Linked DNA regions of Mus musculus. The protein of the gene in region 1 purifies or fractionates together with the protein of each later gene. This does not show direct contact. Links are inferred from orthologs where the notes say so. Each region holds a gene or a part of one and is shown on either strand. Other genes may lie near its edges.

Region 1 (4,214 bases):
CAGTGTGCACAAAGACCTGTTAGAGAAAAGCGAAGCTTAGGAATGCTAGGATGTGAGTATTTACTCTCCAGGATCGCTCAATCGTTAGACTTTGATTCCCACGACAAGGGAGACGACCCTGACTTAACAACCAGCCATTAGGTTTTTCCCATATGGAAGACATACCCCTAAAGGGCAGTTGGGGCTGGGGTGGATGGGAGTGCAGGGTCACAACCATTGTTAAATCCAGGTCTGCCATGAAATCCTTTGTGCTGCTGTCTAGAAAACCATCATTCCACCAGGTGGACAAGATGACCCTGGGTAACAACTATTCAGAAAGAGAACAGCACCGGCTGCACTCAAAATCGTTCTGGCAGCGTGCAATGTCTTTGCTGTGTAAATCTCCTAGCTGCCTATGTGGCCAGACTTGCAGTCTGCAGCCTCTTTTTAAGTTGCTCAAAGGGTTACCTGGGTCCAGGACCTGAGATTGAAGGATGTCAATGTATGTGAAATGCTTAAGCCTAGCGTGTATATAAGTTAATAAAACCTGGTGGGAGCTGATTGGGCATTCGCTGAGAGCTGGACAACCACCCTAAGAGAGTTCTTCCTTCATCGCTGCGAATACAGAGTGGTCCTCACTAGGAAGGCACACCGCTCTCTAAGAGGGTAATAGATGCCTGCTCTTACTGTCTTCTTTGTATACTCCAACTGCAGGCTGTTCTCCTGTCCTGAGTACTTTATGCTTGGGCTGCCAAATGCAACACTGACCACTCATTTAACTTTACATTTCAAAAAACAGTCATGACATTTGCATGTGTGCATCCCTTACAGGGCACAGGGCATACTTATAATAAGAAACTATTTGTTGTTTTCCTGACATTCAAATTGAACCAGATATCTGGCCTTCATTTTATTGCAGCTAAATCTAGTCAAGGTGTTTTCATAGAAGCCCTGGAGCGGAAAGCCTATGACCTGGGGTGATGCTTCGCATATGTGGCCCTCAGTGGGTCCTCAATATTGACATTGACAGGCTGTAGTCAGCAAGTGAAAGATTGCAAGCTCAAGTAGAATGCAGAGCCTGGGCATCCTTCTAATGGAAGGTATTGACCTTGAGAATAAAGCCATTGACCTTCAGAATGTTGCCCATCTTGACACTGGCTCCGTAGCTCAGTTAGGACCTATGTTGTCATGTTTAGGACATATGACAAAAGATGTAGACAACATTAAGTACGTCAGAACTGATCCAAAGTGCCCCTTCTTTGGGTGTCTGTAGCCTCCCCAAGATTTCCTGGGGTGTGTGCACTGCCCTAGGCCTTCGCCTTTGCATTTGTGGACTTGGGGGAAGGGGAGAGTGCTGCTTTTGCCCGCCCGCCTCTGTTCCTGCGAGCACGGAAGCCTGTGAACCTGAGACTTTATTCTCCAGGCAGGATTCGCCGGTTGCGAAGGGGCGGGGCCCGGCGGTGGAGGGCCACGTGTGCTGGAGTGAAGCAGGAAGTGACCGCGAGAGTGGAGCCGGGCGAGCGAGTGGCATCGGGGGCTGATGGAAGTGGAGAGGGGGCTGGAGAGGGCACCCTAGTGAGTCGCCTTTTCTCTCCTTCAGGCCCGGGGTGCCGGGCAGTCTCGAGAGTGTGCAGCGGCCTGGAGCTTGCAAAGGGGTGCCCTAAGGTGCAAGTCCTGGAAGAGCAGCAGGGGCTGTGACAGGTGGCAGGGGGAGGAGGGTGTTTGGGACCCCTCTGCTCCACCCTAGGATGAGCTGGAGACAGTGATGCGAAGCTCCTGAGTGCACAGCCAAGGGTCTCTTCATTCATTGTTTCATGGTGGTGTGTATAGGGGACAAGGGACCTGTGGTATCAGTGGCAGCCATTCGGAGGCCCCTCCCACCTCCACCTGTGGCAGGTCTGGGGGAGGCTGGAGAGCCGGCAGCATGCCTGCCTCCTGGAGAACTTTTTCATGTTCATGCTAGTGGTCCAGATCCTGAATCTGTCTCATGGGCGTCTCTGGTAAAGTCCGGTCCACGAGTTCTGTGCCAGCTCCCTTAAGCCCACGCAGTGCCTCGCTTTAACTAAACCAGCGTTTTGAAGTGCGGAGGCAACATTTAAAAGACAGGGAAAGAGACAGAAAAGGACAGAAGGAAATTTACTGGAGTCATGGGAGCTGGCTGCTCTGTGCTGTCAGCCCGCTGTTGGCTTCTCTCAAGTTATAGGATGGGTGGAGAATGGTCCCCTGTCCTGGTCACTGGTCCAGTTTATGATGTCAATATCCAGCTCTGGAGAAAGTCTGAAGCAGACTGCCTGGCAAGATTTAACTCCCCCATGGAGTTAAATAAGGTGCAGATTTGGGGAATCCCACAAGTGTGTGATGTCGCCTGCGCCCTGTGCTTTTACGTAGCTCCAACGGCTGGAGATGGAGCCCCTATGGTAGAGTGCTTGCTTACCATGTACAAAGCTCTGAGTTTGATTCCCCAGTACCACAAAAACCAGCTATTGTAGCACACTCTGGCAATTCCGGCTTTGGGAGGTGGAAGGCAGGAGGATCAGGAGTTCAAAGCCACTCTCTGCTACACAGTAAGTTCCAGGCTACATTAAAAAAAAAATCATCTAAGTAGCTCTCAAGAGGGACCAGACATCTGGCTTTCCACCACCCTTAGAGAGTAGCCAGAGTTTTCAAACAGTGAGTGGAAGAAGAGGCGTGCTGGGCTCACACTGTGATAAGTGGTGGGTGGCCAGGGCTCTGAGTTCTCAGGAACTCAGTTATGCAGTGAACTTAGAAGAGTGTTTTCCTATCTCTCTGGCCGCCATGGAGACGCACAACTCCCTTTGGTTTGATTTTGCTGGCTGGCAAATGGGAATCGTTTCTTTTAACCAGTAGCTGTCAAAAGACACAATGAGGTACTTGGGGGATGTTTTACGCTGTGATCTGTCTCGGATAGTGAGACTTGAGAGGATGCTAGCTCCATCTCGGTCTTTGTGTATGTTTAACATTTTACTCACAAGCAACTGGGAGCGATCAGTGTGTTAATGCTCTAGGATTTCAGCTAAAAAACAAACAAAAAAAATCCAACAAATTCAAAAAACAAAAAATACTCAAGTCTCTCATTTTTGTTTTTTGTTAGTTTGTTTTGTTTTGTTTTGACAAAGAATCTTACTATATGGCCCTGGCTGTCCTGAAACTCACTAAGTAGACCAGGCTAGCCTCAAACTTGCAGAAACCTGCTGGTATTTGCCTCTTCAAGGTCTGGGACTAAAAGGTTTCTGCTGCCATGCCCAGCACACACCACTCTTTTGAGGTTGACTTGACTCAGGGAGGGTGGAAAAGGCTATTTTTTTGCTTGATTTTTTTTTTCTTTTTAAAAATTTTAAAATGTGTGCAGTTGCTGTCTTGAGTTCCTCTGTCATGTGTGCCCAACCTGCACTCGGTATAGAGATGTGTGCAGCCCAACACAAAATAGTAAGCTTACTTAGACAATGTGAGATTTGGGGAAGGGTGCATTTTAAAACTACCTCTATGTGTGTGTGTTTTGCGGGGTGGGGTCGGGGGGCTTGTGCATTCCATGGTGCAAATGCCGAGGTCAGAGGAGAGCTGTTGGTTCTCTCCCTCAGGTGGGCGTCAGGAACCAAGCTCAGGTTGCCAGACTTGGCAGTTTTTCGTTATTTGCTTTTTTGCTTCTTGGTTGTGGGGTTCTCCAGTGTCATCGTCAAAAGGCTGCATATGCTTGGAATCCGAACCCATAAATGGTTAGACCTTAGACCTAGCATGGGGGCCCAGCGGGACTCATCTGAGCCCACAGCCTTTTCTGAGTGTGGGCTGTGCCCAGGGCCCTGTCCATACTCTGCCATGGCTTCCTCTAAGGGCAGCTGAGGGAACCTCTTTAGCCCTTGATATGCAGGCATGTTCAGCTCTGAGGGAGCCAAGCCAGGTGGGGTCAGGTCCAGCCCTGTGGATGCTAGAGGGCCGAAAGGGAACTGAATGAGGCCTTTGAGTTGATGCCCACACCTAGCTTGTATGTGTATGTGAGTGCCAGGACACACGGCCGCTTCGCAAGTGGACTTCTCTGCCTTGTAACTTTCCGTAGGCGAAGCCTGACATTTGCAATCTAGGACAGGATGGACAGGATATGGTCTCAGTCTTATAGTTCATTCTGAGGAGGTTCTCTGGGCCCATATGAGAGAGGGCCCTTTCTTTTCTTAGGGGACAGCGGTGCCCCTTCGCCGGCAGCAGCTATGCACAGAGCCGTT
Region 2 (4,277 bases), on another chromosome or scaffold:
TTTTTAAAGTCTCATAGAGTTTGATATAATAAAATTTTACAATGAAAATAATCAGTTTCAGCCCACATCATCGGTTACAGAAGTGACCTGGGAATGGACTCCCTTGGCACAAGTAAGCAGCCCTGGTTCTCTGTCACACATACTTTGGGAAAGGCGCCAAAATGAGCAACCACCATAATGAGGATAAAGAACACAATATGGAAGTAAAGAGAGCGAGTTCTGGATATACCAAGATTTAGTCAGCACCAATCACATTTTGGATGTTAGACAGCCAACTAAATGTAGAACTTGGACTGCGCCCACGTGTGAGATGCTGCCTGGAGTGTGCAGTTTTTATCAGCCACAGTTCTAAATCTGGTGCTTCTCATACAACAGGATACGGAATTATCCCAGAGAATCAGAAAAGGCTGAGTTCTTTCAAGTTGTAAGGAAATGAACACAGAAAAGCAACAGCAGCAACTGTTTATATAAAAGATTCCAAATAAGGAGGAATAAAAATAAAATACCAAAACCAAGAAGCATATGGAGAAAACGATCAGTATAACTGTGCTTTCTATGTACCAGGAATGATATGGTCCTTATAGGCACTACGTACAGTATTACATTAAAAACTGCATAGTAAAAATGATTTAAGTTTCTTTTAAGATTTCTAATCATCAAGAAGTCTCACTTTGGTGGTCATGAGCTTTTAATAACTTCTGAGCATTATCTAACTCCCCAGTGACAAAGTGGGTGTGGATTTTCTGAACTTTCTAAATCAACAGCCTCCAGCTCAGTGATACTGCTTATGTGAGGGGCTTTCAAATGCCTTGCATTCCTTTATATGCTTAGAACTGTGGATTCTAACCTAGCATCAATGAACTCTGAACAAATTGAACACTTGCTTTAAAAATGTAATCTTAAGTTAACTGTTCATAAAACCAAAACTAGTAAAAAGTGACTTTTTTTCCTTCAAAATCTATTTAACATTTGGCCTAAACCGAGTACAAAAAAATAAAAAAGGGGGGGGACCCTAGATTTTCAAATTTGTGCCTGCATCAAATCATTTGTAAAATTTGGTTAATGGATACAAAGAAAATCCACCCTCAAAAACATATCAACTTGGAAAAGGGTGCACTTTAATACCCTTTTCTGATTCTTTTTAAGAATATATACAACACTAAAATGTGACAAGACATATTTTCTTGATATCAGTTCCAATGTAGAATTTCAAGCCTTACCAGTAAATATTTTGTATTTCATACACTTGTAAGAGAATGTGTTATTTGGAAAACAGATGTAAAGTAGGAGCTAAGGAAGACTTGTAAAAAAAACAGATTCCATAAGATTGTTTGGGCGACACAGAAACACCGTACCATTTTAATCAACCACTTAAGACACGCCATGTTGGCTTTCCATTTACAAGTACTTATTTTTTAAAAATCCACATTTCGTTTTGAGGATTTAAGGACATTAAGTAACGGTAGTGTGTAGTTATGGGAAAGTGTGAAGTAATTTGGAAAACAGGAAATAAACAAACCAGTACAGATCTCACAAAATACCATCTGCTCTCATTTTAGGGAAAGGGAAACCACAGTTGTTCTCTTGGCTAGCTAGCCCCTTCTGCTTGGGGGTCTTCCTCTATGTGACACCTCTCCAGAGATGTGGCGCCCAATTAATTGAGGACAATTTAACTTTGGGATAGATTAAGGGCACCATCTAAGAAACATAATTGGCAAGTTTTGCAAAAGTGAAACATCCAATCAGGACTTTGTGCGCTACTTTTATGGTACCCTGCCTCAGAAATAGGAGTGCATTCTAACAGGCAAAACGTGTTAGTTACACCAACTGCAGAGTAGTGAGAGAAGTATTTCACCGCACTGTAATCAAAATTCCTGGGGATGGAAGAGCACTTCTACTTCAGGGTCTGTGAAGGCAGAGGCAAGCCTCAGAGAGCAAGATGCTGAGGTTAGGCTACTGATTTCTAAAGGAAAGGCAACAGCTTGTGTCACCAGCTAAGGCAGCACAGGCCATTAAGACAGCCAACCAGATGGTCTTAGATTCCAGTTCCTGACGCTGGGGCGGGGGCAGGGGTTAAGTCAAGCCCAGGTCACAGACATTGTCCCTGCTTCACGGAGCAGGTCACCTGTCAGCCAGGTCTAGGCTGCAAGGGGGTGCCCATCGAGGCTGTGCCTCACCTGACGGTCCTGACCACGAAGTACACCAGCACCGCGGCGCTCACCACCACCAACACGGTCAGGGCCCGCTGGGTCATGGGTTTGTCGCCAGGACTGGGACTCACGGCCAGGCTGCCACCCTGGGAACCTTCTCCGGCCTTCCCTTCGAGGCCGTCCGCCTCAGACCCCGCCCCGGGGATGCTGTCATTGCGGCTCTCCGCGCCTGGCAGCCCGGCAGCATCAGACTGAGCTTGGCCCCGAGGCTGGGCCGCGGTGGGGCCCGGAGGAAGCGGCGACAGCGTGTGCGGCCCGGGCTTGGGAGACTTGGACTCCTGCACCTCCCTGACCACCATCGACGGTACCGCCCCGGACCCGCTCAGAGCGGGCAGCAACAACAACACGAAGGCCGGAGCCAGGAAGTGGCAAGGCCCGGAGCAGCCGCGCGGGGTCGGCATGGTCTCCACGCCGGCCTCTCAGCACGCCGCAGCCGCCGGGCCGGCCTCCCGGTCCGCAGCGCCGACCATGGGCGCGCCGGAACCGCAGAGCCGACTCTCCGGAGGAGAGCGGGTGGCTGAGACTGCGCCGGGTGGCTTCGGCGGCGGCGGCGGCAGCAGCCTGCCGGGACAACCGGAAGTTCGTACATCCCCGCAGCCACTGCTGCTACGGACGCCTCCGGTTGCTAATATGTAGGGGCGGGCTGCGCTCAGTGACGTCAGAGGTTCGAGCCTATTGCGCACGCGTAGCTGTGGGACGCTCTGAGAGGTCCCAACTAGGTTTTCCATGTTTCAGGAGTGTTCCTAATAGTGAAAAGGCTTGGGCCAGAGTGGGTAACCTGAACAAGATGAACAGTTATGCCTACAGTTCTTTCCAAGTGGGGAAACGGGAGCAATAGGAAACTCGATTTAATTTCCTTGATGTCAAACTTCATAACTACATCTAATCAGTAAACACTTCCTCTCAGTTCCCTCAGGAGGATCACAAACTTTAAAGAGAGCTTTTTCTAGCTGTAAGGGTATCGACTATTCTTGGAATCCCTTTCTTTGGAAAATGTAAAGTTGTTTATTCAGGTTTTCCCCCTTTAAAGTGTAAATATTTGTAAAAACCTCTCTTGTCAATTTCCAGAGACCTACAGTCATCCTTTTGAAATAAAACCAACAAGAAAATTGTGCCCCTGTTAACTAGTTTTTGCTATGGGCTGCCTCAAGCTGCAAAACTATCCCTGAACTTATGGAAGAGAGAAAGTTTGTATATTACCTTAGCAAATACCTGGGGCTGTGATCTGCCTACTCTAGTTTACTTTACAGAACTTGAACTCCAAATTTAGTTCTCTTACATTTGAATAATGTTGCCTTTATCTAAGATTTCCATCAAGTAACACTGAGAAAAACCAGACACCTGCCTGGGGCATTGGAGCATGGGTTGTGTATAAATATGATTAGTTCTTTCTTGAGCTTTCTTTCAGTCTATTATAAACAGATTTTTTAAAAGGCTTTCTCAGACATCTGTCAAGAGTCAGCTGTTTAAGGGTCTGGAACTGCAATTTAGTCCATGTCCTGGAAACTATTAGGATTACCCTGAAGACACTGCAGTAGCTATAGAGGACCTCTAAAATCACAGCTGAAGACATGTTCTAGACAGCCTGTTCCAATCTTAAAATGCAGAACGTCACAAGACAGGTATCTGTGAATTCTACTTAATTTTGCAGGCATTTTCAAACAAGAGCTGAAGTATTTCCCTTGTGAGGGTTAACAAAACTTCATTTTATGCTAAGCATCCAACTTGGTACCCATTAGCCATTTGTCTCTGACTCCAGTCCCTTGAAGATAAGCTCCCAGTAACCTGGACTCAGTGACCACATACAGAAATGCACAGCCATGGCATTATGATATGACTAGCTGCTTTTTTAATTGTGTAATTTACTTATGCAGATACCCAAAGATTGTTTGGCCTTGCCCACGTAAGCTTGGCAGAAAAGACCAGTATTTGGTTATTTGCATAAATATTGAAGATCTTGTGGTTTTGTCTTTAAAAAGCCTTTCCCCATACCACTCCTCACAACATGCATGAGCTTGGGCTTTAAGACTATTGCCCTGCTAGCAGATAATCAATGCATCTTTTAAT
Region 3 (4,242 bases), on another chromosome or scaffold:
TTCTACCGAGGCCAGGCTAGAGCTGTGGGTAAGGGCATCTGAAGCTGGACCTGTTCACTGCTCCCAGTGAGCAGAATCCCTTTGCACTCCTTTATCAAGGAGGTACTTCTTAAGTCTTGCCGTGTGTACCAATGTGGGAATGCGGAAAGCATCCAGCACGGTCCCTGCATGCACAGCTTATCTGCAGCTGAGAGCAACATGGAAGTGAATTTCTCAAGATAGGAACACAATGCAAAGCAACATCGAGGGCAGCCTGCAGTCAGGCCAGCAGCAGAGCCATCCCAGGCTACAAGTGGTAAGGCAAGACTCTGCCACTCAACTCCCTGAGACTTCCATCCTTGCCTTTCTTTCTGGCTCCCAGCTTCCAGTCTCAGCAGCTTACCAGCAATAAAGTCAGCATCTGCAGGAATGGGGGGGGGGGGGGAGGGCAGGGAAGTGTTCACTAGTGCCACACCCCCCCCAACTTCTAAATCTCATCCCGTATCCCACCAAGAGTCCCCAGTATACGTACACACACCATTCTGAGACTCTCATCTGAGAGGCACAGAAGATAGGTGTCCTAACCAAAGTCAGGGTTCAGGTTTCTGGACCAGACTACAGAAGCCTGTCTGTGGTCTCTGCCCTCTTTTCCCACCTACCAACTCCTAGCATCTTCCTCTTCTAGATGAAGGCCACCTCCCAGCAGGTCATCAGAGAGAGAGAGATGGGGAGCCCGATCATCTGACCTCAGTTCCATCATGCTGGCCTTAGGCTCTGGTCCCTGAGACCGGGACTGGACTGATCCAGGACTAAGAATAGGGTAGCTGGGGCACACATCGTGGGAACTCACTGGAGTCTAGAACCACCAATGTTTGTGTTTTTCTTCCTCTGACCTGTCCGTCCACATAGATCTCAGCACCCTAGAGTGTACAGGTTTTTTTTTTTTATTTTAGCTCCGTATGTTCAGACACTGACAAGTTTTTGAAAGCCATGTCCTAGGTACAGCACAGTGGCCCTCCTAAGCATGTTTGCAGCGATGCACCACAACTTGGAATCTAGGTTAAAACACAAACCTTAGGGCCTAAGGTCTCCTCTCATCAGGCCCAGAAACTGATACCATTGTAGAGTTTTTACTTCTTTACAAACAGGTGATGTGAGGGAATACGGGAAGGATGGGGCTAAGTGAGGGTACCTAGAGAACCATCCTCATATTCTTGGATTTCACTACAAATTCCCTGCATTCTACAGGATACAGGTATCCGCACTCCTGACCTTGCACCTCACCTACTGGAGGAGCTCCAGTCCCCTTTTCCCGCGGGTTCAGATCTTTCCGGGCAAGAATCACACCCTCCCCTACTACACACACACACACACACACACACACACACACACACACACACCTCCCTGGTTCTTTGCTCTTCTTTCTGGTCCTGGTGGACTTCTCAAGCTGTCTCTGACCAACAGTAGTGTGTCCCAAGAGGTTACCTGCCCCCGTCGGAAGAACGTTCCCATCTTAGCGTTCTCTCAAAGGGTCCCCTAGTCTCCTTCCTCAACAGGTGCTGGGCCTGGCCACACGAAGCCATCACCAGCTGACCAGACGAAAGTGTAGACAGGACGCCCCCTACAGGCTCAGCTTGCCCCCACCAGGTTCTACTGTGCAGCTTAATCCGCCCCCCAACCCCTCGCCCCAGCTCCGCGGGAGCTCTCGGAGTACTAACACCGCTTTTGTTTCTCCTACTCGCTCAGATGTCTGGAGGGTGATCTCATGAGAGGGAACTGCCCAGCCCAACGAACACACAGTCCCCTTCAACTGCAGACCCTAGGGTTGGAGGCAAAGAGCGCTTATGAGTCAAGCCTTCTCCCCGCCCCTGGGGAGCCAGAAAACACCTCCGGGGAAGGTAGGGGTGGAAGCTGAAAAAATTGGTCCAAGTTGATCTTGGATGTGAAGGCGCTAAGCCAAGGGCAGCGCTCAGCGACCCTTCCCTTACCCACGCCGCCGCCCGGCGTCTTTTACCCCAGAGGCTGGAGACCCGGTGCGCACCACCACCTACGCGCTCTTGCTGAGCTCTGCTCCCACCACCCGCTCGCTGCACTCCAGGGCCAGCCGCCTTCTGGGGATGGCGAGACGCCCGCAGCCCCCTAGTCCCCAGCCCCGGTTGCGCGGGGCCGCGAAAGCCGCCACGTTCTCAGTCGCGCGCGCACGCCGGGCCCACCAAACTTGCAGCACTTTCTCCCTGCCCCCACATGCTGTCACCCTCCCTGCATCCAAGCACCCTGGCCCCTCCGGGCCCCGCACAGGTTGCCATAACAACGAGCAGGAATTCTCCAATATATACAAAGCCCGAACGGTGCTCGGGGCACGCAGCCCCCGGTCGGGCCCCGCGAACCTCGGCTAACAGCGGGGGGCAGGACGCGCGCCGAGGATCCCCGGCCCGCCGCTCACCCGGTGCGCAGAGCGTACTCACAATGAGCGGAATGGTGCGGTCCTCGCGGAGCTGCTCTGGTCTCCCGCCGGCCCTCTGCGCGCCGCGGCCGCTGGAGGATGCTGCATGGGCTCGGTTGTCCTGCCATAAGTAGTAGAAAGTGCCCAGGATCCAGGCTACGGTCAGGATGGCGATGGCATTGGCGCGGATCTTCCTCATGGTGGGCGGACGGGCGCTCCGCGTGGGGCCCGAGGCCGGCGTGCTCTCGGAGCCCGAGCAGGGGAGCTTGCTGCCCCAGCCGTTTGTTGTCGCTTGCGCCGGGCTGCTCAGTCCTGCAGAGCAGAAAAAAGAGAGAGGTGGTGGTGGTGGTTGGGGAGGGGGGGGGGGTGTGATAGGAAGAGACAGGAGCGCAGAGCGATCCTCACGGTCCTAATGCCCTTCAGCCCCGAGCGCGCGCGGCCCCGGGCGCTCATTCATTCGCGCGCCTAGCTGGCTCTGTGCTCCAGACGCCGCGGGCAGCCGGGGCCGCTGCGCACCCGCTAAAGAGCGCGCCCGCTGGGAAGTGGCGCGGGCCTTCCTCCCGCATCCCGGGTCTCAGCGAGACAGACGCGGGGTGGAATGGCGATGAACCAGAGCTGGTCTCTGCTCTCTCAACGCTCGGCTATCTCTCGCCCGTCCCCTGCCCCCGCGTGGCCCTGGTCTGTCTCTCCACCCACACCTAACCCACCGCCGAGCGGACCTGAGTCACCAGCGAAGACGCGCGACCCCTGGCCTTGGCCCGAGTCGCCTAGCTGCAGTTCCCGGCAGCGCTGAGAACTGAGCTCTGGCGCAGGGTTCAACCTGTGTTCAGAGAGTCCTTCGGAGGGGGCAAGGCTAGCGAGTAGGCAGTCTTGACTTTGCACCGGAATCCTTCTCGGAGACCCAGGATTCCATCCGCCTCGGTGGCCCGAGGGGGTGGGGAGTTGGAAGCTGATGCACTTGACACTCTGGAGAGCGAGGTGAAGCTGCGCTGCGGTACAACCAATGCAAGCACAGGGATGCGATCGCTGGACATCTTTCATTACCCTGGGGCTCCTAGCTTTCTCTTAGTTCCTATCCACACCGGCATCGCGGCTCCCTGAACTGTCCTGAGGCGTCATCACCGTTCCGTGAGAGTGAAGGGAGGCCATAGAGGCCAGGCCACAGGGTTCGATTAGTGGACAGAACCCTGTCTAAGAGCCCTCTGACACTTTTCTGACAAAGTGCAAAATAAGGTGGTGAGAGACAGGATAGACATCATTGAGATTCTGATTCTGCGGAGGCCCTGAAGTCGATGAGAGGTGAGAAGCAGGTGTGAATAATTCAGGCTCCAGGCAGAAGACAAGGCGGGCTAGGGCCTGTCAGGCAAAGGAAGACACACACTCGGAGCTCTGAGATACCAAAGTAGATGCTGCGGAGGAAGAAATAATTTATTGCAAACTGGTCTTCAGTAACGAACTACAGAAATGATTCCTGAAAGTATAGTCTTGCAAAGTGGTCTTTAGGAAGGCTTCCCAGAGAAAGTGGATAAATCTGGAGAATAGGAGGGTAATCCCAAAAAGGAAGAGAAGAATAAGGAAAGGGCAGGGACAGCCAAGGCCCTCAGGATAATATCTCATGAGAGCATGCTGGATACTGGCAAAGACCTGGTGTGAGTTGAGACTGGCCAGACTGGGCAAGTCTAGATACTGGAGGATCTTAAATGCCAGGAGCAGAGTGGACAGGGTGGTGCTTTTTGGATGATGTCAGGTAGGTTGACTCTTCGGAAAATCCAAGACAGGTCAGGCTTGCGAATGAAGCCATCTGGGGAATAAGGTAAATA

What was found. The genes of interacting proteins can lie anywhere in the genome.
Region 2: the proteins of Slc39a11 (region 1) and Fam174a purify together in Homo sapiens (co-immunoprecipitation; 3 studies listed by BioGRID and IntAct, counting the BioPlex papers as one, with this or other methods). This does not show direct contact. The link is inferred for Mus musculus from reciprocal best matches to the Homo sapiens genes SLC39A11 and FAM174A.
Region 3: the proteins of Slc39a11 (region 1) and Galnt16 purify together in Homo sapiens (co-immunoprecipitation; 3 studies listed by BioGRID and IntAct, counting the BioPlex papers as one, with this or other methods). This does not show direct contact. The link is inferred for Mus musculus from reciprocal best matches to the Homo sapiens genes SLC39A11 and GALNT16.

The regions. Positions count from the first base shown.
Region 1 is NC_000077.6:113,563,016-113,567,229, reverse strand, and holds the start of Slc39a11 (zinc transporter ZIP11), read left to right. Parts: upstream 1-1,414; 5' UTR 1,415-1,519; coding exon of another isoform or gene 1,520-1,554; exon of another isoform or gene 1,555-1,644; intron 1,645-2,367; coding exon of another isoform or gene 2,368-2,543; intron 2,544-4,214. UniProt on the Homo sapiens protein: Zinc importer that regulates cytosolic zinc concentrations either via zinc influx from the extracellular compartment or efflux from intracellular organelles such as Golgi apparatus. May transport copper ions as well.
Region 2 is NC_000067.6:95,312,151-95,316,427, reverse strand, and holds the start of Fam174a (membrane protein FAM174A precursor), read right to left. Parts: upstream 2,801-4,277; 5' UTR 2,612-2,800; coding exon 2,178-2,611; intron 1-2,177.
Region 3 is NC_000078.6:80,517,548-80,521,789, reverse strand, and holds the start of Galnt16 (polypeptide N-acetylgalactosaminyltransferase 16), read right to left. Parts: upstream 2,801-4,242; 5' UTR 2,622-2,800; coding exon 2,445-2,621; intron 1-2,444. UniProt on the Homo sapiens protein: Catalyzes the initial reaction in O-linked oligosaccharide biosynthesis, the transfer of an N-acetyl-D-galactosamine residue to a serine or threonine residue on the protein receptor.